7 linked regions of the Ovis aries genome follow. The protein of the gene in region 1 purifies or fractionates together with the protein of each later gene. This does not show direct contact. Links are inferred from orthologs where the notes say so. Each region holds a gene or a part of one and is shown in the gene's direction. Other genes may lie near its edges.

Region 1 (3,926 bases):
TACTCTAAGCAAAGGAGTCGACAAATAATCACAGGGCACAAAGACGCATGCGTGGCCGGGGAAACAAAACAAAACAAAACAAAACACCTGAGGGTGCAGGCGCGCGCTAGCGCCGGGTTTTTCCCGCCCTGGAATGTTTCCATAGCAGAAGCACAACGCACCACGTGCCGGGGCAGCGCGAGGACTGAGAAAGATCCGTCGGTTGGGGTTCTGTTTTTACATAACGCCCCCACAATGCCCTTCGCCTCCTCCCTCAACGTGGCCCCCGCTCCGAGCTCATTTTCTGGACCTGGGAAATCACTCTCAGGGTTAAAAAAGGCTCTGAGGCGGAGAATGCCCAGAAACCCTGAAATGAAATAACGTCACGCAGCCCCTCACCATTACTCTGACCAGGGTTCGAAGGTCGCATTTAGCGCCCACAGCAGCCCCGTTCAAGCCCTAAGAGGAAATGGAGAAGTGCAAGGGGACAAGCAGCAGAATGGCTGGCACCACCTCAGGTTAGCCCACGGGGCCGTCCTGGTTCTCACACCGCTCAGCTCATCCCAGTACACCCTACCCAGGACCCTCAGCATGGAACCCGGCCTCACCTCCCGCCTCCGCTGCGCGAACCCCGGATGAAACAAGGGCCCCGTCGCGGGTCTCCTTGGCGGGCTGACTCCAAGGAGCAAGGCAATAAGGGCCAGGAGGGCTGGCTGGCTGGGGATGAGGTCAATGCCCCGGGCAGCAAAGTCTCGCCGAGGCCTGAGGCTCGCTGTTTGATGGGAGAAGCAAGAAGCAACCAGCCAGCCTAGTTCCTCTCCCGGCCCACCCCCTCCCCTCCATGGCCCTGCAGTCCCCGGAATCACACGACTATATTTCCCAGGCTACCTGGCCCAGAACGCGGTACTGAGTTTCCGCTTCCGGTGGCGGCTCGCAGTGCCCTGCTGCGCCCCGCCCCCAGCGTACCCCTCCCCCGGGGCCTCGTGACACCAGGGTCGTGCGCGGGTCATCCTGGGATTTGTAGTTCGCTTTTCCCTAGTTTCGTCAGTTTCTTCTTCCCAAGGACTCCATTTCCCGGCATGCACCGCGGCTCCTAACTCTAAGCACTTGCGCGTTGCCCTCTTCCCCACCCTCCCCAGTTTCCACTCCCCCCACCCCACTTCGCCTGCCGCGGTCGGGTCCGCGGCCTGCGTTGTAGCCGTCGTCGCGGTCTTTGGAAGCAGAAACTCCCCTTCCCCTCCCCGTCCCCCGGTCCCAGTCCCCGTCCAGTCGGTGAGTGTGGTGGTCGTCGCCGCGCCATGTCCCCTGTCCCTGGGCGCGGCACATGGGGTCTCCGCGTCTTGATGTGGGGGTGGGAAAGGAAATGACCCGGTCCGGCACCGAGGGTAGGAGAGGTGGCCCGAAGGGTGGAGGCGGGATGTCGGGACTTCTATGAAACGGACCTGACCACCACCTATAGGCCATGAGAAAAGGAGGGCCCAGCTCTTGCTTGGAAAGGATAAACTTCGGAACCCTTGAGAATGGGGCCAGAGACTTGCGGGGGTAGGGAGCTTGAGCCACGGCCCTACCGGAGTTGACACGGAGGAGAGAGGGGCCTGGCTTTCAGGAGCGTCAGGGATGGAGGTAGGACTAGTGGGGTCAAGACCTGTCGGTTTCTCACAGCTGGTGGACCCCGAAGAATTTCTCTATGTAATCTCAGTGAAAAGGGGCTGGAATGTAAATAAGAGGAGCTAGAGAGACGTGCTCCAGTCTCGGGTTCTTTAAGAAAAGGGTAGCCCCAAATTCTTCCATGGTTTGAGGGCAAAGTGTGGGAGGAGTGAGGATACCAGAGGTTGGGAGGGAGAGCTTAGGCTTATACTCTTCTGTCTCTAGCCGACGTGAAGATGAGCAGCTCAGAGGAGGTGTCCTGGATTTCTTGGTTCTGTGGGCTCCGTGGCAATGAATTCTTCTGTGAGGTGAGTTCTCCTCAACCCTACCATCCACCTCCACATGTAATCTGGCCACATAATCTCCTGCACATAAAGCTTCCACACACTTCTCTTACATACTTTAGTAAAAACTCTTGTCAAGGAGGAGTCTCCTTAGTAGCGCTCTCTAACTTGTGGTGAAGGGTCAAGACTGAGACCCCAAGTCAACCCTGCCACCCTCCAACAGCCTAATGTTGGACTTGTCAACCTGTGTTGTTTTTTTTTTTTTTTTTTTTTTTTACCAGGGAAGTACTGATAGTATGTATTTCTGGTAGCTATTAGGAGAATTAAAACACTTCACGTTAAAATGTTTTATAGCATGGCTGTGTGTTAACATAAGGGAGTGTAACTGACTTCAGAATCCAAGCTGTTCAGCCCCCACCTTCCTCAGAGAGCCAGCTGCCCCTCAGGAGAGGCCAAAACTGATTCCTAGAGCTAGGAACAGGAATCAGGACAGGGATCTTGAAAGGACTGCCTCTGTAAGGAGGGGATTGCTTATGTTTAGGAGAAAAAAGCCAGACCTCTTCTGGGTGGGCAGTATACACGAACTAGGGAGAGAGGTTCAAGTACTTCTGCTGAGTTGGGAGTGTGGAACAAAGGGAATGAAGCAGTTGTGTTGAAGATAAGGCACGAGTTAGAGCACCCTGCCCAGGTCAAAGCTGAGGATTCTGCTTTGGGTTTCCTTTTGACTTCACGTCCTGACAGGTGGATGAAGACTATATCCAGGACAAATTCAATCTCACTGGACTCAATGAACAGGTGCCTCACTATCGACAAGCTTTAGACATGATCTTGGACCTGGAGCCTGGTGAGACACCCTCAGGGTTGTTTTGTGTGTGTGCTGTTTTTTTCCTATTCACACCTTGTTTATCTGCTTCATGAATTTCTAAATTTCCTTTTGGTTCTCTAACCCTTTTAACCCCAAATCCTTTACTTCATTTTGATTCCATACCTCACTCTTGCCTAATTTTGTGACTTCTACACTTGTTCTCATACTCTGATCCTATAACTTAGCACTTATCGAAAATGCTAGTTTCTCCATGGGTGTTATCTTCTTCCTTGCCCCTTCCAGGTTAGAGTTCTATCTTCTGTGTTGACATCTTTGCATTTATTTATTAAAAAAGAGAAGGAAGCAGAGGCTGAGAGGGATGGAAAGAAACCCTTGGGTTGGTGGAAGGGGCAGAGGCCCAGGCTGTGGGTGGGGTGAGGCTCCAAGTTGGGTGCTGGGCTGAAGAGCCAGCAGCCCCTGGGAGTAGGCAGGGCACCTTAAAAAGTTGTAAGACAAGTGGTTGCATTTGGCTGGTGCCATGTTTCAGATGAGGAGCTGGAAGACAACCCCAACCAGAGTGACCTGATTGAGCAAGCAGCCGAAATGCTCTATGGATTGATCCACGCCCGCTATATCCTCACCAACCGTGGCATCGCCCAGATGGTGAGGCCTCTCTACTCCTACTCGGTTCCTTCAGAGGCAACAGGGAAGCAGAGTTTCCATCAGCAAGAAGTCACTCGTTTCAGCCTTGTCACGGAATCTAGCTGAGAAGAGGGGAAAGAACCCCAGAATCTGGGCCTAGGGGTTAAGACCTGATTGAGGGTTGAGGTGAAGGGAGTGTTTTGGGGGAGGGAGATGTGACCTAGAGCAGAAAGTTGTAGACTGCCTCTTCCTCAGGGAATAAGCAGTGAATGTCTGATGATCTTCAGACTGCCTGACTGGATGAAAGGAAGCAGGGGAGTCTGAAGGCCCATCTGAGCCAGAGAAGGGGCCTCTGGACATTAAGAGGCAGAAGGAGTTGGGGACACAGTGATGTGGATTGGGCTGAGGAGGGGGTTGCCTCTTTTCTTCATACCTACCCACCAACTCCTTCAATTTCATTCACATCAGTTGGAAAAGTACCAGCAGGGAGACTTTGGATACTGTCCCCGTGTGTACTGTGAGAACCAGCCAATGCTTCCCATCGGTGAGTGTTGGGAAAGGGAAAGGAG
Region 2 (2,775 bases), on another chromosome or scaffold:
GGGGAGGAGGAGGACACCACCAGCAGTGACGTCAGGGCAGCCTCTCCCGCCGACGCCAGCAGCCCCGAGGCCGAAGCCAAGGAGCCCGAGGCCGGTGAGGAGGAGGAAAAGCTCCGCGTCCCCGCAGAGCAGCGGCCGTCGGAGGAGGCGCCGCAGGAGCTGGCCAGGCGGGAGCCCGAGGAGGAGGAGGACACGGCTGCGGAGACCAACCAGAGCGAAGACCACGACGCGGATGATGAGGACGACGGCCACCTGGAGCCCGCCAAGAAGGAGGAGGAGCCAGGGGAGCCGCCGGCGCGGGAGGGCGTCAAGGAGGAGCCAGGCGGCCGGGAGGCTTTTTTAGATCCTAACGTGCAGGGCAGCGGGGAGAACCCGAAAGACAAGGAGGAGATGGAGCCAGATTCTGAGGAGGAGCAGACTTCACACGAGGCATCCGTGGTGTCCGAGCACATGCCGGGCTCTGAGGACGACCGCGAGGAGGACTCGCGCTCGAAGGAGGAGCTACTGGAGCTAAAGGAGGAGGAGGAGATCCCACACAGCGAGCTGGACCTGGAGACGGTGCAGGCCGTGCAGTCCCTGACGCAGGAGGAGCGCGGCGAGCACGAGGGCGCCTACCAGGACTGCGAGGAGACGCTGGCCGCCTGCCAGACGCTGCAGAGCTACACGCAGGCCGAGGAGGACCCTCCGCTGGCCCTGGTGGAGGACTGCCACGCCTCGGAGCACAACAGCCCGCTGTCCTCCGTCCAGTCCCACCCCAGTCAGTCAGTGCGCTCGGTCAGCAGCCCCAGCGTGCCCGCCCTCGAAGGGGGCTACACGCAGATCAGCCCGGAGCAAGGATCCCTGTCCGCCCCGTCTATGCAGAACATGGAGACCAGCCCCATGATGGACGTGCCTTCCGTATCCGACCACTCCCAGCAGGTGGTGGACAGCGGCTTCAGTGACCTGGGCAGCATCGAGAGCACCACGGAGAACTACGAGAACCCCAGCAGCTACGACTCCACCATGGGCGGCAGCATCTGTGGGAATAGCTCGTCCCAGAGCAGCTGCTCCTACGGCCTGTCGTCCTCCAGCAGCCTCACCCAGAACAGCTGTGTGGTCACCCAGCAGATGGCTGGCATGGGCGGCGGCTGCAGCCTGATGCCGCAGAGCAGCGTGCCGCCCGCCGCCAACTGCGGCATCAAGTCCCCGCAGAGCTGTGCGGTCGAGAGGCCTCCCAGCACGCAGCAGCCGCCGCCACCCCAGCCGTCGCAGCAGCCCCCGCCACAGCCTCAGCCGCCGGCCCCGCCCCCACCACCGGCCCAGCCGCCGCCCCCGCCCCCGCCCCCGCCCCAGCAGCCACAGCCCCCGCCCCCGCCCCAGCAGCAGCCCCCGCTGTCACAGTGCAGCATGAACAACAGCTTCACTCCGGCGCCCATGATCATGGAGATCCCCGAGTCCGGCAGCGCGGGGAACATCAGCATCTACGAGCGGATCCCCGGGGACTTTGGGGCCGGCAGCTACTCCCAGCCGTCGGCCACCTTCAGTCTAGCCAAGTTGCAGCAGCTGACCAACACCATTATGGACCCCCATGCCATGCCTTATAGCCATTCTCCTGCTGTGACTTCCTATGCAACCAGTGTTTCTCTGTCCAACACGGGACTGGCTCAGCTGGCTCCATCGCATCCCTTAGCGGGGACCCCTCAAGCACAAGCCACCATGACGCCGCCCCCGAACTTGGCCTCCACCACCATGAACCTCACGTCCCCTCTGCTGCAGTGCAACATGTCTGCCACCAACATTGGCATTCCCCACACTCAGCGGCTGCAAGGGCAGATGCCCGTCAAGGGGCACATCTCCATCCGCTCCAAGTCGGCGCCCCTGCCCTCCGCGGCGGCTCACCAGCAGCAGCTGTACGGCCGCAGCCCGCCCGCGGTCGCCATGCAGGCCGGCCCGCGTGCCTTGGCCGTGCAGCGTGGCATGAACATGGGGGTGAACTTGATGCCCACCCCTGCCTATAATGTCAATTCCATGAATATGAACACCCTGAACGCCATGAACAGCTATCGAATGACCCAGCCCATGATGAACAGCAGTTACCATAGTAACCCGGCCTACATGAACCAGACAGCACAGTATCCTATGCAGATGCAGATGGGGGTGATGGGGGGCCAGGCCTACCCCCAGCAGCCTATGCAGCCGAGCCCGCACGGAAACGTGATGTACACGGGCCCCTCCCATCACAGCTACATGAACGCGGCGGGCGTGCCCAAGCAGTCGCTCAACGGACCTTACATGAGAAGATGAGCAAGACGGACTTGCAGTTCAGAACCTAAATATATATAAATAAAGGAACCTTTTATACTGACAAACCAGAGAAAAATGGACCTTTTTTCCAGTTAAAATATTGCTGTAGATTTAGAGGAATTTTTCTTTGGTTTATTTTATTTTTTAGAAAACCTGGTCTTTTTTTGGGGGGGTTCATTTTGTTCTGGGTTTTGGTTTTCTTCACAATCTTGAACATTTTACAATAGAACTCATCTAAAAACGGATTTGGGGATAGGGGAAACATGCACAGAAATCTTTTCATAATTAAAAAGAGCCTTACTTTCTTTACACGCCACATGGACAGAATTTGTGTAAAAGTGAATTATCTTTATTTTATTTTAAAATGTATGTTTCCCCTCAAGTGTTTGCAGCTCCCAGTGTCGTCATTTTTAAATGTTACTTATACATCTCGAGGGTTAGCCAGACCCTTTTCCTCCACACCCAGCCTTTCATTCCCTACTTCATTCCAGC
Region 3 (3,500 bases), on another chromosome or scaffold:
GATAAGCTGATAAATCTACTTAAAATGTTCTTGTCAAATATTCATTGAGTGTGTGTTACGAGCCAGGACAGTGTGAGAAATGCTAGAAAAGTACAAAAAGATAAAATAGCTATAACTAAATAAGTTTAGTGCTTCAAGTAGTACTGTGGAGATAAGACATAACCAAATAACACGATCATTTGCTAAATTAAAGTTACATTAGTAAGTCATTAAGTATTTTTCTACATTATAGCCGTAGTATAGCTATGAAATTTAGATGCTAAAATTTTAGAATTATAAAGGGATGACCACAGAAGCTATATCTAGTATCTTTTTTCCACTTATACCCAAAAGGTTTAAATGCTTTATATGTCAATTTATATTTCCCTAAAAAGATCCCTTTTCTCAGAAATACATTTCATTTATAAACAGGAAAGTACTCCTTAAGTAATATTCTCAAAGTCTCTCACATGGAAACGTTGAAGTTTTATATTTTCCCATCAACTTCTCAGTTTGAGGCTTTAATATACCAGAAGATCATAATTTAAAAATAACTCAGTTTGTGAAATTATGACAAGTCCTGTCACCTTTTTCCTTTCTTACAATTATTAAAAATCTTTTAATTAACTTTGAATTTTTTCTTTTAGAAAACATTGTTTAAAAAAAATTAAATAAAGAGAAAACATTGTTAAAGTTCTACGTTTTCTGTTTTATTAGGAAATCCAGACTTGTCATTGTTTCAGTAGATAATATGCTTGTTAAAATTTAGGTATATTATTATTCTTTACTATGTAATTCAAAGTATAGCATATAAACTGTTTATTAGACATTATTTTTACACTTCTGTATATACTATGCAGAGTCCATTTTTTGTGAGTGAAATTCACAGATGGGACAAGTCACAAAAGCAAGAATGTGAACTTCTCTTCCATTAATGACATTAAAAGAAAAAGAGAGCAACAGATGTAGGTTTAAGATAAGATGACCCTAATTTTCATCTCATAAAATTTGCTCTCCTATTTGTGCATCTCAGTGTTGCATTTTCTTTTTCAATTATACTGTCAAAATGTTGGCTTATTTCTTCAAAGTTTTACTTTATACTTAAGCCATTTCTTAACTTCAAAATCTAAGGTAATATGACATTTGTTTTATTTTCACATTTTTGCCCCAGTAAGTTCCTTTTTTGTTGTTTTCTTTTATAGATACAGACATCAGTGAATCTGGCATTTCACTGAGAAGTACTGGCTCAGCAGCTTCCTTGGCTAGTCAGGGAGAGAGAAGGAGACGAACCCTTCCCCAGCTTCCAAGTGAAGAAAAGTCTCTTGAGAGCTCCAGAACAAAGGTTATAGCACAGAGGTCAGAGATAGGAGAAAAGCAAGACACGGAGCTTCAGGAGAAAGAAGCACCTGCCCAGGTATACCAGAAAGATAAACAAGACACTGACAGAGCCTTGAGTAAAATGAACAGGGCAGTAAATGGTGAGACTCTTAAAAATGGTGGAGATAGTAAAGCCCTGCTTCACTTAGGCAGCTCTTACTCTGGGAAGGAGAAAAGTGAAACTGATAAGGAAGCTTCTTTGGTAAAGCAAACATTAGCTAAAATCCAGCAACAAGAACAAAAGGAACAGGCACAGTGGACACCTACTAAATTATCTTCTTCAAAAACCATTGCGGGTCAGATAGATAGATGTAGGGAGGAGTCTTTTAAGCAGGAGTCACAGCCTCAAGAAAAAATTCCAGGACTTTCTGCAGGCAAAGGAGAAAGAGCAATACAAAATGAGGGTAAGAGAAGAAAAGCTGAGGAAATTCTGAAAAGTCAGACCTCAAAGGGAGGAGACAAGAAGGAATCCTCCAAGTCGTTAGTGCGACAAGGAAGCTTCACTATAGAAAAACCTAGCCCCAACATACCCATAGAACTTATCCCCCATATAAATAAACAGCCTTTATCAACACCCCCTTCCTTAGCATTAACAACAGCCAGCAGAATAAGAGAAAGAAGTGATTCTATGGATACTGATTCTAGTATGGACACGACCCTTATTCTAAAAGACACAGAAGCAGTAATGGCTTTTCTAGAAGCTAAACTGCGTGAAGATACTAAAACTGATGAAGGCCCAGATACTCCCAGTTATAACAGAGACAACTCCATTTCACCCGAATCTGATGTGGACACAGCTAGTACCATCAGTCTGGTTACTGGAGAGACTGAAAGAAAGTCAACCCAAAAGCGAAAGAGTTTCACTAGTCTCTATAAAGATAGGTGTTCCACAGGTTCTCCTTCCAAAGATGTTACAAAGTCGTCATCGTCGGGTGCTAGGGAGAAAATTGAAAAAAAAACAAAAAGTCGTTCTGCAGATATAGGTTCTCGGGCAGAGGGTCGTAAATTTGTGCAGTCCAGTGGAAGAATAAGGCAGCCTTCAGTAGATTTAACAGATGATGACCAAACCTCTAGTGTACCTCACTCGGCCATCTCTGATGTTATGTCATCTGACCAGGAAACTTACTCTTGTAAATCTCATGGAAGGACTCCACTTACCTCAACTGATGAGCACGCACATTCCAAACTAGAAGGAAGTAAAGTAACTAAATCCAAGACTTCTCCTGGAGCACCTGGTTCGTCCAGTAAATCCACCACTCTACCAAGGCCACGACCTACCAGGACTTCCCTCTTGCGCAGAGCCCGACTCGGTGAAGCTTCGGACAGTGAACTTGCTGATGCTGACAAAGCATCTGTTGCTTCTGAAGTGTCCACAACAAGTTCGACATCCAAACCTCCCACAGGAAGGCGTAACATTTCTAGGATTGATTTGTTGGCTCAGCCTCGTAGAACAAGGCTTGGCTCATTATCGGCTCGCAGTGACTCTGAAGCAACGATCTCTAGAAGTAGTGCCTCTTCACGGACCGCAGAAGCCATCATTAGAAGTGGAGCCAGATTAGTACCTTCAGATAAATTTTCTCCTAGAATTAGAGCTAACAGTATCTCTCGACTATCCGACTCCAAGGTCAAAAGTATGACCTCAGCACATGGCTCTCCTTCAGGTAAATTGGATCCAGACTTTTTATATTAGTGTATTTCTTTTATGTTTTGGGACTTCTTCTTTGAAAAATTGTTAGTGTCGATTCCCAAAATTTTCAGCAGAAAGATCATACTGTAGAGGGTTTTGTTCCTTAAAAAGTCACCTTAGTTAGCTTGAAAGTGAAGTGAAAGTGTCAGTTGCTCAGTTGTGTCCAACTCTCTGCGATCCCATGGACTGTAGCCCACCAGGCTCCTCTATCCATAGAATTCTCCAGGCAAGAATACTGGAGTGGGTTGCCGTTCCCTTCTCCAGGGGATTTCCTGACCCAGGGATCAAACTCGGGTCTCCTGCAATACAGGTAGATTTTTTACCTTCTGGGCCACCAGGAGGAAAATTCAGAAGTTATATACACTTCCATTTAAAGTCCTGGTACAAAATAGTGAATTCAAAATTTGAAGTATATTGAACCAATTTGAGAATTTTAATTGTCTACTTGGTGAGATAT
Region 4 (4,017 bases), on another chromosome or scaffold:
GCCAAGACTTCTTTCCTACCCAGGGATCGAACGCAGGTCTCCCGCATTGCAGGTGTATTCTTTACCAGCTGAGCTACAAGGGAAGCCCAAGAATGTAGCAGAGGAGATAAATGTTAGAATAAGAACAGCTCAGCAAGACTGTCTTCTTGGCATATTTTCTATTGGTCTGGTGTGTCACTATATTCTACCAATGTCCTTTTCACTTTTTTGGAACTTCTCTTAGCTTAGAAAATGTCCTGAGGCATTGCGTCCAGAAGACCACTGTTCAAATGAACCTTTTGTAGGATGCTTAGGTGTAGAGATGGATAGGGCCGCCAGTGTCTTCTTCAGCCCTCTTAACAAATTGGTATTATCTTGTCAGAATAGTTTACATACTGCCACTCTGGGAAGACAAGTGAGTCATAGAACAGTTGAGTTCAGCGACATTCGTGACATAATGGAGGTAGATGGGGGACACTCCGAGCTCACCCACCTAAGGAGACAGGGTGAGCCCAGTGAGGCCATCAAACTTTCCATAAGAGGACACAGGTTTCATCCCATTGTGGCGTGATGATGCCAAAGGAAAGCACTTATTGTACAATTTTATTTCTACTGGAATTTTACTTAAATTATCTCCAGATGATAACCGTGGCCCCCTGCATCGGGAATCCCCCTGTTTGCTAACACTACTTTCAAAAATTCGTGATTCTGTTTGCAGACTACCAACGAGGAAGAGAAGTGAGGGGTACTCAGTGAGTTAGGAAATGAATTCACAGGACGTTCCTGCTGAGGAGTAACGGGCTGGGGGTGAAGCCAGGCCTTTTCGCGCTCCCCTAATTGATACCCTACCTGTTCCTGTAGTAATACTGCTGTGCTATACTCTTCGACCGGGCTTGCAGCCTGGCTAACGTGGCCATAGCCTCCGCTCGCCCGCTGCACCTCCGGAGTTACTCTCGGTCTCCTAGGCAACCGGGCTAAACCATTACCCAGATCTCGGGGATTCAACTTTCGTTGACTTCACATTTTTTTCCTCCCACACTCTTTCAGTGTCCGAAACACCAGAAAGAAAAACTAAGAAACGTTGATAATTAAAGATTTCAAATTATTGACCCCTCTCCCTTCTCTGAGGAAAAAAGAGGAGATTTTCAGAGAAAGAAGCAGTGGAGGTGGGGAGGGGAACTAATGGTTGCTCCCAGCTTCCGTTTTCCGCCTGCTGTCGGCTTCCGGAAGCTCGGCTCAAAATGCTGAACTGCTCCTGGGAAGTCGCTGGTGGTGCGGTAGTTGGAGTCTGTTCTCGGGCCTGAGCCTCGAGGCCAGGCTCTTGGGTGTCGTTAATGTTCGGGGCCGCCGGGCGCCAACCGATCGGAGCTCCAGCCGCCGGGAACAGCTGGTGAGGCTGGCCGCCCTGGGGATGGGCGATCCGGAAAGGGTGTGATGGCCGGGGGCCGCTGGACCTGGAATGGAAGGGGGAGGGAGTTGTGATGGATGATCTGAAGACCTTTAGGCCTTGCTCTCTTTTCGTTCCTGGGATGGACGCAGTTTAAGGAAGGCGTGGAAGTGTGTGCTAAAGATTTGCGAAGGAATACAGTCAATGCTTGCTGATTGCTTGTCTACTACGCCACAATAATGTAGGAGGAAAGCTTTCTGTACGCCCGGAGCAATTCATTTCTTCGTTGACTGTTGACAAGACGAGGATTACAGAAGAATCTATCTTACTATAGGCATTATTTCCTCATTTTCCTTTTTAAATTTGCAAGATTGTACCAGGTGTTTTCGAAGATCAATTCCCAGAAATCTAGACTTCTGGAAGTTTAGAAGTGGAGGAGACTGCCTTCCTACGCCCCCTCTTTTGGAGTAGGTGTAACCTACCAGTTTCTGTCCCTTGAACCTTCCATTCTAGTTCAGATGAGATGTGCATGGGATGTCCCCTGAGAACTTAAAATGTCAGGGTTAAATTTAGGGTTCGACTGCAGTATTATACCGCTAAACCACTTTAGAATAATAAGCTGCTTTGACTTGGCAAAGTTCTTTAACAAATTGCTACGTTTTATCCTTATGAAGGGCCTGTGATAGGAGATTATCACAGGCACAGAATGGTTAAGGGACTTGTTCAGTGTTGCCATGCAGGCTTTAGCCCTAGAGCTGGAAGTTGGGTTTTGGATTCCTAGTTGAAAACTATTTCTACTCCTGTTTTTCTCACAAGACGTTTTCCTCCAAGACAAGCAGTGACACAAACAAAATTTCCAATGACGTTCTCAAACCATAAAGTTGAACAACAGGTGAAATGCAGCTGAAATGTGTCAGTCCATTCCTAGATTCTGCAGCAAATGAGAATCTGAGGGATTCTAGTAGTTAGTGATCTCCAAGAAGTTCTTTTGCATCATCTATCATTGAATAAAGAATATGTTGCTTAAAATGTTTTGAATGAGATCAGATCGTTCTGTAGTTGTTTTTATAATGAAAAGACTTGGTTATGCTCCTTTGACTTTTTTTTTTTAGTTGAAATATAGTTAATTTACAATATTGTATAAGTTTTAGGTGTTCAACACTGTGATTCAGTATTTTTACAGATTGTACTTCATTAAACATTATTACAAAATAATGGAAATGGGGCAGATTAGGGGTATGAGATTGAGATACAAGCTACTGTGTACACAGTAGATAAGCAACAAGGATACAAGGTATAGCACAGGAAATTATTATCTTGGTTATGCTCCTTTTTAATACATTTTCCTGTGAGAAAAATAAGGAGCACTTTTTTTTTTTAAAGAGCATTTTATTTTAATGGTAATTAGCATAAAATAAAACGCATAGTTCTTAAGTGTTTAGTATTTTTAGTTTTGGCAGTTGTATATACTGTGTGACCACAACACAAAGCAAGATATAAGACGTTTCCATCATCCCAAGCACGAGTCCCTCTCCAGATTACCTTTCTTAATGTTTCACCATTCAGCATCTTTTTAAGAAGGGGAGACAAAATGTGCCGTATAGATTGGTCTGCTCTTGCTGTAGTGATTACTGATTTGTAGGATAGATGACAGTTTAATGGGAAAATATGACTGCTTAAACTCCTCTTCCTCCTCCTATCCAAATCATGGTTAGGTCCCTCTTTGTAAGGGAAGATCCCTTTGGAGTGGGAAATTGCAACCTACTCCAGTACTTTTGCCTGGAAAATTCCATGGACAGAGGAGCCTGGGGGGCTATAGTCCCAAGGTGTCACCAAGAGTCAGACATGACTGAACACACAAACACACACATACACACACACACACACACACACATCCTTTTTGTGATATAGAGAACTTTCTTTCAGTTCTCTATTTTTCTTGAGATGAACTACGTCCTTTCTTACGGCATCAGAGTATAATATAGTGCCTAGCATGTTATTAGTGTTTTGAATAAAATTCTTGAATTATGCCTGATTTGACAGTGAGTGTTCCAGAAATTTGGATCCTATATTTTCTAGTTTATCTGTGCAACCATCTTGTTATTCAGACTTTCTTAATGGAATTTTCTTTTTCATTCATTCATCAGACATTGACTGTACTAAACATGTGAGTTTTGTCCCAGTGATGACATCTCAGTGCCAGTCAGGATGCTACTTAGTCGGTGTAGGTAATTGGTGCCAGCTTTTGTGTATATATGTCATCTCATGTATTGGGTTGCCGAGAAGTTTGTTTGGGCATTTTTCTACAGTGTTAGGAAAAACCTGGACAAACTTTTTGGTCAACCCAATAAATCTTTTGAAATAGGTGCTGTTATTCTTTGCATTTTAGAGATGGCAAGACAGGAGCAGATATTGTTTAAGTATTATTAACTTAGCCAAGCATCATATTTGCAGTATGATTCTAGTATATCTGGGCTTCCCTTGTGACTGAGCTGGTAAAAAGAATCCGCCTACAATACAGGAGACCTGGGTTCGATCCCTGGGTTAGGAAGATTCCCTGGAGGAGGGACACTTCCAGTATATCTAAAAAAAATTTCTTAGTTATCCTGCTGTACTGCCTGTGCATCTGAATGAGATACCATATCACAAGG
Region 5 (4,040 bases), on another chromosome or scaffold:
ACTATGTCAAAGCCTTTGACTGTGTGGATCACAATAAACTGTGGAAAATTCTGAGAGAGATGGGAATGCCAGACCACCTGACCTGCCTCTTGAGAAATCTGTATGCAGGTCAGGAAGCAACAGTTAAAACTGGACATGGAACAACAGACTGGTTCCAAATAGGAAAAGGAGTACATCAAGGCTGTATGTTGTCACCCCGCTTATTTAACTTATATGCAGAGTACATCATGAGAAACGCTGAAGCTGGAATCAAGATTGCCAGGAGAAATATCAATAACCTCAGATATGCAGATGACACCATCCTTATGGCAGAAAGTGAAGAGGAACTAAAAAGCCTCTTGATGAAAGTGAAAGAGGAGAGTGAAAAAGTTGGCTTAAAGCTCAACATTCAGAAAACGAAGATCATGGCATCTGGTCCCATCACTTCATGGGAAATAGACGGGGAAACAGTGGAAACAGTGGCTGACTTTATTTTGGGGGGCTCCAAAATCACTGCAGATGGTGATTGCAGCCATGAAATTAAAAGACTCTTACTCCTTGGAAGAAAAGTTATGACCAACCTAGATCGCATATTCAAAAGCAGAGACATTACTTTGCCGACTAAGGTCTGTCTAGTCAAGGCTATGGTTTTTCCAGTAGTCACGTATGGATGTGAGGGTTGGACTGTGAAGAAGGCTGAGCACCGAAGAATTGATGCGTTTGAACTGTGGTGTTGGAGAAGACTCTTGAGAGTCCCTTGGACTGCAAGGAGATCCAATCAGTCCATCCTAAAGGAGATCAGCCCTGGGATTTCTTTTGGAAGGAATGATGCTAAAGCTGAAACTCCAGTACTTTGGCCACCTCATGTGAAGAGTTGACTCATTGGAAAAGACTCTGATGCTGAGAGGGACTGGGGGCAGGAGGAGAAGGGGACGACGGAGGATGAGATGGCTGGATGGCATCACTGACTCGATGGACGTGAGTCTGAGTGAACTCCGGGAGTTGGTGATGGACAGAGAGGCCTGGCATGCTGCGATTCATGGGGTCGCAAAGAGTCGGACACGACTGAGCGACTGAACTGAACTGAACTGAACTGAACATGTAGATCTTAGAATTGAGCAGCCTCATTCGGAACCCGAAGGATGAGGGAACCTTGTTGCCCCACCGGCTTCCTTACACGGCTACACACATCCCGTTCCTGAGTCAGTAGGACCGCCTAGGTCTGGGGAAGGAATTTGCCGACGTACCCGGAACTGTTTCCAAGGTTTCCTCGGGTTCTGGCGGAGGTACGGCTGCCGGTCCTGGGAGCCAAGGCAACGGAGAATTTTCCCAGGCTCGCGCGAGCGCCCCCTTCACCCACGGATTCAGGGACCCAGCAATAGCGATGGCTCCGGTGTCTGGCTCCCGCAGCCCGGAGTGGGAGGCCTCGAGCTCCGGGGGGAAGCGTCGCAGTTCTTCGAAGAGCCCTAAGCCTAGCAAATCCTCTCGCTCCCCGCGCGGCCGCCGCTCTCGCTCGCGCTCTTGCTCTCGGTCCGGGGACCGGAATGGCCTCAGCCATCAGCTGACTGGCTCCAGCCAAGGCTCCCGAAACCAGTCCTACCGTTCGCGCTCGCGATCACGCTCTCGAGAGCGGCCCTCCGCACCGCGCGGCGCCCCTTTCGCTTCTGCCTCCTCGTCTGCCTATTATGGCGGCTACTCACGCCCCTACGGGAGCGACAAGCCGTGGCCTAGCCTCCTGGACAAGGAGAGGGAGGAGAGCTTGCGGCAGAAGTGAGTGAGACGAACGCACTTTCTTTCGCAAGCCCACCAGCCTTTAGAGTCCGATTTATCGTTCATTTCGCACCCGACTGTTTGCATTTCGCTCTCTCCCTGACTTGCGCGCGTTTTCATCCTTTCTGTCAGTCCACCCACGATGACGCCTTATTCATCCCTTTCCATCGTTAGGTTTTTCCGCTCATCCTCCGGCCCCTTCATCTAATGCCTTGGTCTCCCTCCCGCTACCCCTTCCAGCCTCCTGGCTTGTTGCGGGCATGGTCAAGAGCCTCGGACCTGCCGGAATTACAGCATTTACTTGGTTGTGTCGTTGTCATTAGTGATCACGTTTTCATTCCCCAGTAGACTGAGCCCTTGGAAGAGCCCAGATTATTGATCACAAAATTTACAGTGCAGAGCACTTTGTAGGTGCGCAACCATTGCTTGCTGAATGATCAAACAGGTTTGAGACAATAGGATAAGTGAGTGGAGTTGTTTTGCAGCGACTTGGGAAAGGTTGAGATATAAGGTTTAAATTGGAGGGGAGGGGAACCTCTGAAACAAGATGACTAAATGTAGGGAAAAAATGATGTGTAGGAAAAAATTATCTGTTAAACTGTAAGGTTGGACTACATTGAGAAAGATCTTAAGCGGTCTCAATCTTCAGCATGAAAAATGAGGTCAGATTGACATCAGATCTTCTTTAATGACTGAGTATTGGAGAGGAAGATGAATAGTTTAAGGGGAAAGGAAAATAATTATAATTACTGTTTTGTAAGCTTTATTTTTTTTTACTTAAAAGAATTGAAGTATAGTAGATATATAGTGTTTTTAAGTTACCAGTGTACAATAATATAGTGATTCACTATTTTTAAAGGTTATACTTCATTTATAGCAGTTATGTGCTTTGTAATTCTTAATATCTAATGCTTATTGAGTGTTAAATTGTGTGTCAGACACTGTACTGATCATACTGTATGTGTTTAAAAATAAAAAAAAAATTTAAAAGTGTAACAGGCATTGAGGGGCAGGTTAAGGTTTCAACAATTGGGAGATAGCTTGAGTCTTTTTCTTCCAAAAGTGGGGGCCACTAAAGTCTAGTGATTAAGAGAACAGGCTCCAGAATCAGACTGCCTGAGTCTGAAGCCCTCCTTTGTTGCTTAATACTTGTGTGACCTTGGGCAAGTTATTTAACCTCTCTTAGTTTCATTTCTTCACCATGTAAAAGGGAAAAATTAGTACAAAAGCTTTTTAGAGATGTAATGATTTAGTGCCTGGAACACAATAAATTGCTCTTAAGTGTTAGCTGTTAGTATTTTGTGCATGGGAACAGAAACAGTAAAAACAGTCCTAAAATAGATTGGAGACTGACTTCTCCAAATTAAAATTTCCAGAAGGTAACCCCCAGGCTGTGTCCATCAAAAAGCATCCAGTTTCCATGCTAGACATTCCTTACCAAAAGATGTCAGAATTCCTTGGATGAAATTTTCGTTTGTACATTTAGGAAGTAAATAATTTTAAAGTATCCACGAAGTTGGGTGGCAGGAGGGATAAGAACTTTACTGCTTGGTCTTTTTAGCCTGTCAAGCATTCTTCATCCTGTATGTATGTATTCAAAGTTTAGCTATAAGTATGTCCTCTATTAGATTTTATGTTACTTCAAGTAGGAAACCGGAGTCTAACTCTGCACAATTATACCTTTTCCCCTGAATAAGGAAGAAAAAAATATTTTGTTTTAAAAAATCAAAAAGGATTTTATTTCTTTAATAAGGTTCTTCTTTTAAACAAGTGGAGTCACAGCAGCTGAAGTTTGAAGAAGTAAACCTTAGTTTTTGTTGTGTATTTGTGTGTTTATAAGGAATATCAAACATTAAGAAATCACATGTTTGGGAATGCATGTAAGAATTAAAGATTTTAAAATTAAAAAAATAAAAAAGAAATCACAAACATAAAACAAAATAATTTTGTTTTCCAAGGGTAGATAGAGAATTTACTCCTTTTTGAAAAAAAAATTAGGGGAAAAACAGAAAACAAACGCTATATCTCATTAAGTAAAGTTTTGTCAAAACTTTTCTTTTACTTTCAAAGGTCCCTTTATTTTCTACTTCTAATGCTTCATTTTTATTTTCTTCATTAATTCCTGACTTTTTGAAAACGAAGGTTTGACCTTGTCAGGAGTAGAGAATTCTCTTTACTTTCATAAGGATACATAAACAAATGAAGTTATTTCCAAATGTAAGACCATTTTTGTCACATATTGCAGAAGATGAAATGAGCAATTGGGAGCTGTGTGATGCATGTACTAGAAA
Region 6 (2,217 bases), on another chromosome or scaffold:
TTTTGCGGGTGGGTTTTAAGGTGGCCACAACAGAGAGGGGAGTACCAAACCACCTTACCTGCCTCCTGAGAAATCTGTATGCAGGTCAAGAAACAACAGAATCGGACATGGAACAACGGACTGGTTCCAAATTGGGAAAGGAGTACATCAAAGCTATATATTGTCATCCTGTTTATTTAACTTATATGCAGAGTACATCATGCAAAATGCGGGCTGGATGAAGCACAAGCTGGAATCAGGATTGCTGGGAGAAATATCAATAACCTCAGATATGCAGATAATACCACCCTTATGGCAGAAAGCGAAAACTGAGGAGCCTCTTCATGAAAGTGAAAGAGGAGAGTGAAAAAAGCAGGCTTAAAACTCAACATTCAAAAAATGAAGATAATGGCATCGGGTCCCATCACTTCATGGCACATAGATGGGGAAACAATGGAAACAGTGACAGACTTTATTTTCTTGGGCTCCAAAATCACTGCAGATGGTGACTGCAGCCATGAAATTAACAGACGCTTGCTCCTTGGAAGAAAAGCTACGACAAACCTAGACAGCATATTAAAAAGCAGATATTACTTTGCTGACAAAGGTCCATCTAGTTAAAGCTATGATTTTTCCAGTAGTAATGTATGGATGTGAGAGTTGGACTATAAAGAAAGCTGAGCACCGAAGAGTTGATGCTTTTGAACTATGGTGTTGGAGAAGACTCTTCAGAGTCCCTTGGACTGCAAGGAGATCAAACTTGTCAATCCTAAAGGAAATCAGTCCTGAATATTCATTGGAAAGACTGATGCTGAAGCTGAAGTTCCAATCCTTTGGCTACCTGATTCGAAGAAGTGACTCATTGGAAAAGACCCTGATGCTGGAAAGATTGAAGGCAAGGGGAGAAGGGAAGGACAGAGGATGAGATGGTTGGATGGCATCACTGATTTGATGGACATGAGTTTGAGCAGACTGCAGGAGTTGGTGATGGACAGGGAAGCCTGGTAGTGCTGCAGTCCATGGGGTCACAAAGAGTCGGACACGACTGAGGGACTGAACTGAACTTCAAGGTGGCCAAAGGGACTGCTGCTGCTGCTAAGTCGCTTCAGTCATGTCCAACTCTTTGCGACCCTGTGGACCGAAGCCAGCCACGTCCTCTGTCCATAGGATTCTCAGGCCCAAGAACATTGGAGTGGACTGCCATGCCCTTCTCCAGGGGATTTTCCCCACCCAGGGATCCAACCGGCATCTGTTACCTCGCTTGCATTGGCAGGCGGGTTCTTTACCACTAGCGCCACTGGGAAGGAACAGTACGGGGTAGAACGGCAAGCGAGTCCTAAGATGGTTCTTGGAGGGGCGTGGTGATAGTCTTGAGGTCAGGTTTGAATGTGGTAGGAGCCTGAAACTGGGGGCGGGGCTCGATGGTGACCTCAGGGCGGGATCCGGCGGGCGGGCGGGGTCTCAGTAGGCGGTGACCCCGGCCCGTCACGCTGCCCGCAGCTGCACACGTACCTGGTCCTGGAGCTCCTGCAGGGCGGGGAGCTGCTGGAGCACATCCGCAAGAAGCGGCACTTCAGCGAGTCCGAGGCGAGCCAGATCCTGCGCAGCCTCGTGTCGGCAGTGAGCTTCATGCACGAGGAGGCGGGCGTAGTGCACCGCGACCTGAAGCCCGAGGTGAGCGCACGGCCTCAGCGCATCGGGAGGGCCTCGGCGCGGAGGGCCGGGTTCTGACGGCCGCCTCGCCTCCCTCGTAGAACATCCTGTACGCCGATGACACGCCCGGGGCCCCGGTGAAGATCATCGACTTCGGGTTCGCGCGCCTGCGCCCGCAGAGCCCCGCGGGGCCCATGCAGACTCCCTGCTTCACGCTGCAGTACGCCGCCCCCGAGCTGCTGGCCCAGCAGGGCTACGACGAGTCCTGCGACCTCTGGAGCCTCGGCGTTATTCTGGTATGGGGACGGCCTCTCTGAGCGGATGTCAGGGTCCTCCGAGCCTGGGGACAGCAGTCCTCTTGGTGGGGGTGGCAGGATTTGGTCTGAGGCTGGGATAAGATGTCCTGATACATAGGCGGGGTCGCTCTGGTGCTGGGGTCTGGGCACCCTAGTTTGAGGGGTAGAGTCCATCACCCATGGACCTCAGGAGTTAGCCTCTTGGAGACAGTGCATGGTCCTGTGGTGGGTTGAATCAGTCTCCTGGCCTCCATTGGCCCCTAGTCTGGGCTGGTCTCACTTTTCACCT
Region 7 (3,100 bases), on another chromosome or scaffold:
ACTATGATGGAGGTGTACCCGTTAGTGTGCATGGGCTTCTGAGAGGGAATGTATATAGAGATCCTGAGGGAGGAGGTCCAGAGTTCCTGCTTTCAGACATCTCTGTTTCTCACTTTTAACCCTGTTCTCCCCAGGTCTGGGACCAATTGCCATGGGGGACATGAAGACCCCTGATTTTGATGACCTCCTTGCTGCCTTTGACATCCCTGACATTGATGCAAATGAAGCCATCCATTCTGGGCCAGAAGAAAATGAGGGGCCAGGAGGCTCTGGGAAGCCTGAACCCAGTGTAGGAGGTGAATCTGGAGAAGCAACAGCAGCTCCTGCCAGGGATGGCCCTGGGGGGCCCACCCAGGCCTCTGACCATAGCCTGCCACCGCCGGACGTCTCAGCAGTCAGCGTCATCGTCAAGAACACTGTGTGTCCTGAGCAGTCAGAGTCCCTGGCTGGGAGTTCAGGAGGGGAAGGGGCCCGGGCGGGGGGAGTGACGAAGGAAGGCCCTCTGGGATCTCGGCTGATGCAGAATGGTTTTGGGGGCCCTGAGCCATCCCTTCCAGGAACCCCACGCTCTCCAGCTCCTCCTAGTGGGGGTACCTGGAAAGAAAAGTCCCTGGAAGGCAAAGCTCCACTGGATCTGTTTGCTCATTTTGGGCCTGAGCCAGGGGAGCACCCTGATCCCCTTCCTCCCTCTGCGCCCTCCCCACCTCGGGAAGGGGCCCTGACCCCACCTGCTTTCCCCTCTCCCTTTGAGCTGACCCGGGAGAATGGCTCAGCCTTGCTGCCCCCTTCTTCTCCCCCACTGCTGGGGGCCTTGAAGCAGGAAAGCTGCAGCCCTCTTCATCCCCAGAGCCTCTCCCAGCCAGGCTCAGGCGCTAGCCCTGAGGCCACGGGAGTCCCTGCCAGTGCCTCCCCTTCCCAGGTGGCAGGGGTGTCCTTCTTCAAGAAGTCTCCGGGGCACCAGAGCCCTCTTGCCTCCCCTAAAGAGCCCAGCTGTCAGCCCCTGAAGGAAGAGGAGGATGAGGGACCAGTAGACAAGTCTTCCCCGGGAAGTCCCCAGAGTCCCTCCAGTGGAGCTGAGGCTGCGGATGAGGACAGCAATGACTCCCCTGCCTCCAGCTCCTCTCGGCCTCTCAAGGTGCGGATCAAGACCATTAAAACATCCTGCGGAAATATCACAAGGACCGTAACCCGGGTCCCCTCAGACCCTGATCCCCCTACCCCCTTGGCTGAGGGGGGCTTCCTGGCGGAGGCTAACCTCCTGAAGTTGTCCCCAGCAACCCCAGCCCCCGAGGGTCCGAAGGTGGTGAGTGTCCAACTGGGTGATGGCACAAGGCTCAAGGGCACTGTGCTGCCTGTGGCCACCATTCAGAATGCAAGTACTGCCATGCTGATGGCTGCCAGCGTGGCCCGCAAAGCGGTGGTTCTGCCTGGGGGCACTGCCACCAGCCCTAAGATGATGCCTAAGAATGTGCTGGGTCTGGTGCCCCAAGCCCTGCCCAAGGCTGAGGGGAGGACAGGGCTGGGGACAGGGGGGCAGAAGGTGAATGGCGCCTCGGTGGTAATGGTGCAGCCTTCTAAGCCGGCCACTGGGCCGGGGGCAGCAGGTGGCACGGTGATCTCACGGACCCAGTCCAGCCTGGTGGAGGCCTTCAACAAGATCCTCAACAGCAAGAACCTGCTGCCTGCCTACCGGCCGAACCTGAGTCCGCCGGCTGAGGCCGGGCTGGCCCTGCCACCCACAGGCTACCGCTGCCTCGAGTGTGGGGATGCCTTCTCATTGGAGAAGAGCCTGGCGAGACACTATGACCGCCGGAGCATGCGCATTGAGGTCACCTGCAATCACTGCGCCCGCCGCCTGGTCTTCTTCAACAAGTGCAGCCTGCTTCTGCATGCCCGTGAGCACAAGGACAAGGGGCTCGTCATGCAGTGCTCACACCTGGTCATGAGGCCGGTGGCCCTGGACCAGATGGTGGGGCAGCCGGACATCACGCCCCTGCTGGCTGTCCCACCTGCCCTCGGACCTCCAGCCTTGCCCGCCTTGGGCAAGGGTGAAGGGGCCGTCACCACATCCGCCGTTACTGCAGTTGCCGCCGAGGCCCCCGTGCTGCCACTCTCAACGGAGCCACCCGCCACCCCTGCCACCTCTACCTACACGTGCTTCCGCTGCCTGGAGTGCAAGGAGCAGTGCCGCGACAAGGCTGGCATGGCTGCCCACTTCCAGCAGCTCGGGCCCCCTGCCCCTGGGGCCACCAGCAACGTGAGTTGCCTTTCACAGCCCCTCCCTGGGAAGGGGACAGCCAGGTGCCATGGGGACAGGGTCTAGGAAGGTGTGGGGGCTTGGTTAGAAGGAAAGGGGGACAGGGCCTTCCTCACAGACTCACCTTGTTTCGACCCCCTCGACAGGTATGCCCAACCTGCCCCATGATGCTTCCCAACCGCTGCAGCTTCAGCGCCCACCAGCGCATGCATAAGAACCGGCCTCCCCACGTCTGTCCTGAGTGTGGGGGCAACTTTCTGCAAGCCAATTTTCAGACCCATCTCCGGGAGGCCTGCCTACATTTCTCTCGCCGCGTAGGATACAGGTGCCTCCCACACCTCCTCCCCATATGTCGACACTTTTCCTCCTGTACTTGATGGTCTCGTGGCTCCTGGGACCAGCCTTTTAGAAGGCGAGCCCGTCTCTCCTGCTGAATCACGCAGCCATGCTGTGTTGGCGAGTGCAGCCTGAGCTCCCTGCCTTTCCGTCGCTCCCCATGGAGCGGGCGGGCCCCACGGAGCAGGCGGGCCCCATGGAGCGGGCGAGCAGGGCCACCTCTGGAGCACCAGCTCTACCTCCGCAGGCCTGCCCTCCGGGACCGGGTCCTGTGGCTCCTTCCTTCCTCCGCTTGCTCATGTTCCACTGCCGATTAACTTCTCAGGCCACCCGGTCCCCGAGAATGAGTGTGGGGTTGGGGGTGGCTGCAGGGACGCCCCCCACTCACCACCGTGCCTCTGACTTTCTCCCCAAGGTGCCCCAGCTGTGCAGTGGTGTTTGGGGGTGTGAACTCCATCAAGTCCCACATCCAGACGTCACACTGCGAGGTTTTCCACAAGTGCCCCA

Evidence for each region.
Region 2: the proteins of CSNK2B (region 1) and KAT6A purify together in Homo sapiens (affinity purification with mass spectrometry; 3 studies listed by BioGRID and IntAct, with this or other methods). This does not show direct contact. The link is inferred for Ovis aries from reciprocal best matches to the Homo sapiens genes CSNK2B and KAT6A.
Region 3: the proteins of CSNK2B (region 1) and CEP170 purify together in Homo sapiens (affinity purification with mass spectrometry; 3 studies listed by BioGRID and IntAct, with this or other methods). This does not show direct contact. The link is inferred for Ovis aries from reciprocal best matches to the Homo sapiens genes CSNK2B and CEP170.
Region 4: the proteins of CSNK2B (region 1) and GPATCH2 purify together in Homo sapiens (co-immunoprecipitation; 3 studies listed by BioGRID and IntAct, with this or other methods). This does not show direct contact. The link is inferred for Ovis aries from reciprocal best matches to the Homo sapiens genes CSNK2B and GPATCH2.
Region 5: the proteins of CSNK2B (region 1) and NKAP purify together in Homo sapiens (co-immunoprecipitation; 3 studies listed by BioGRID and IntAct, counting the BioPlex papers as one, with this or other methods). This does not show direct contact. The link is inferred for Ovis aries from reciprocal best matches to the Homo sapiens genes CSNK2B and NKAP.
Region 6: the proteins of CSNK2B (region 1) and RPS6KA4 purify together in Homo sapiens (affinity purification with mass spectrometry; 3 studies listed by BioGRID and IntAct, with this or other methods). This does not show direct contact. The link is inferred for Ovis aries from reciprocal best matches to the Homo sapiens genes CSNK2B and RPS6KA4.
Region 7: the proteins of CSNK2B (region 1) and ZNF687 purify together in Homo sapiens (co-immunoprecipitation; 3 studies listed by BioGRID and IntAct, with this or other methods). This does not show direct contact. The link is inferred for Ovis aries from reciprocal best matches to the Homo sapiens genes CSNK2B and ZNF687.

The regions. Positions count from the first base shown.
Region 1 is NC_056073.1:26,713,242-26,717,167, reverse strand, and holds the start of CSNK2B (casein kinase II subunit beta), read left to right. Parts: upstream 1-1,126; 5' UTR 1,127-1,251; intron 1,252-1,851; 5' UTR 1,852-1,862; coding exon 1,863-1,934; exon of another isoform or gene 1,935-2,651; coding exon 2,652-2,754; exon of another isoform or gene 2,755-3,262; coding exon 3,263-3,378; exon of another isoform or gene 3,379-3,825; coding exon 3,826-3,901; exon of another isoform or gene 3,902-3,926. UniProt on the Homo sapiens protein: Regulatory subunit of casein kinase II/CK2.
Region 2 is NC_056079.1:36,183,158-36,185,932, reverse strand, and holds part of KAT6A (histone acetyltransferase KAT6A), read left to right. Parts: coding exon 1-2,283; 3' UTR 2,284-2,775. UniProt on the Homo sapiens protein: Histone acetyltransferase that acetylates lysine residues in histone H3 and histone H4 (in vitro). Component of the MOZ/MORF complex which has a histone H3 acetyltransferase activity. May act as a transcriptional coactivator for RUNX1 and RUNX2.
Region 3 is NC_056065.1:33,253,039-33,256,538, forward strand, and holds part of CEP170 (centrosomal protein of 170 kDa), read left to right. Parts: intron 1-1,181; coding exon 1,182-3,017; intron 3,018-3,500.
Region 4 is NC_056065.1:20,347,057-20,351,073, reverse strand, and holds the start of GPATCH2 (G patch domain-containing protein 2), read left to right. Parts: upstream 1-1,217; 5' UTR 1,218-1,313; coding exon 1,314-1,369; intron 1,370-4,017. Other genes in the region: SPATA17 (spermatogenesis-associated protein 17), read right to left, coding at 829-896. UniProt on the Homo sapiens protein: Enhances the ATPase activity of DHX15 in vitro.
Region 5 is NC_056080.1:114,588,889-114,592,928, forward strand, and holds the start of NKAP (NF-kappa-B-activating protein), read left to right. Parts: upstream 1-1,240; 5' UTR 1,241-1,363; coding exon 1,364-1,749; intron 1,750-4,040. UniProt on the Homo sapiens protein: Acts as a transcriptional repressor. Plays a role as a transcriptional corepressor of the Notch-mediated signaling required for T-cell development. Also involved in the TNF and IL-1 induced NF-kappa-B activation.
Region 6 is NC_056074.1:39,108,489-39,110,705, forward strand, and holds part of RPS6KA4 (ribosomal protein S6 kinase alpha-4), read left to right. Parts: intron 1-1,479; coding exon 1,480-1,653; intron 1,654-1,733; coding exon 1,734-1,928; intron 1,929-2,217. UniProt on the Homo sapiens protein: Serine/threonine-protein kinase that is required for the mitogen or stress-induced phosphorylation of the transcription factors CREB1 and ATF1 and for the regulation of the transcription factor RELA, and that contributes to gene activation by histone phosphorylation and functions in the regulation of inflammatory genes.
Region 7 is NC_056054.1:101,198,050-101,201,149, forward strand, and holds part of ZNF687 (zinc finger protein 687), read left to right. Parts: intron 1-134; 5' UTR 135-151; coding exon 152-2,257; intron 2,258-2,403; coding exon 2,404-2,582; intron 2,583-3,008; coding exon 3,009-3,100. UniProt on the Homo sapiens protein: May be involved in transcriptional regulation.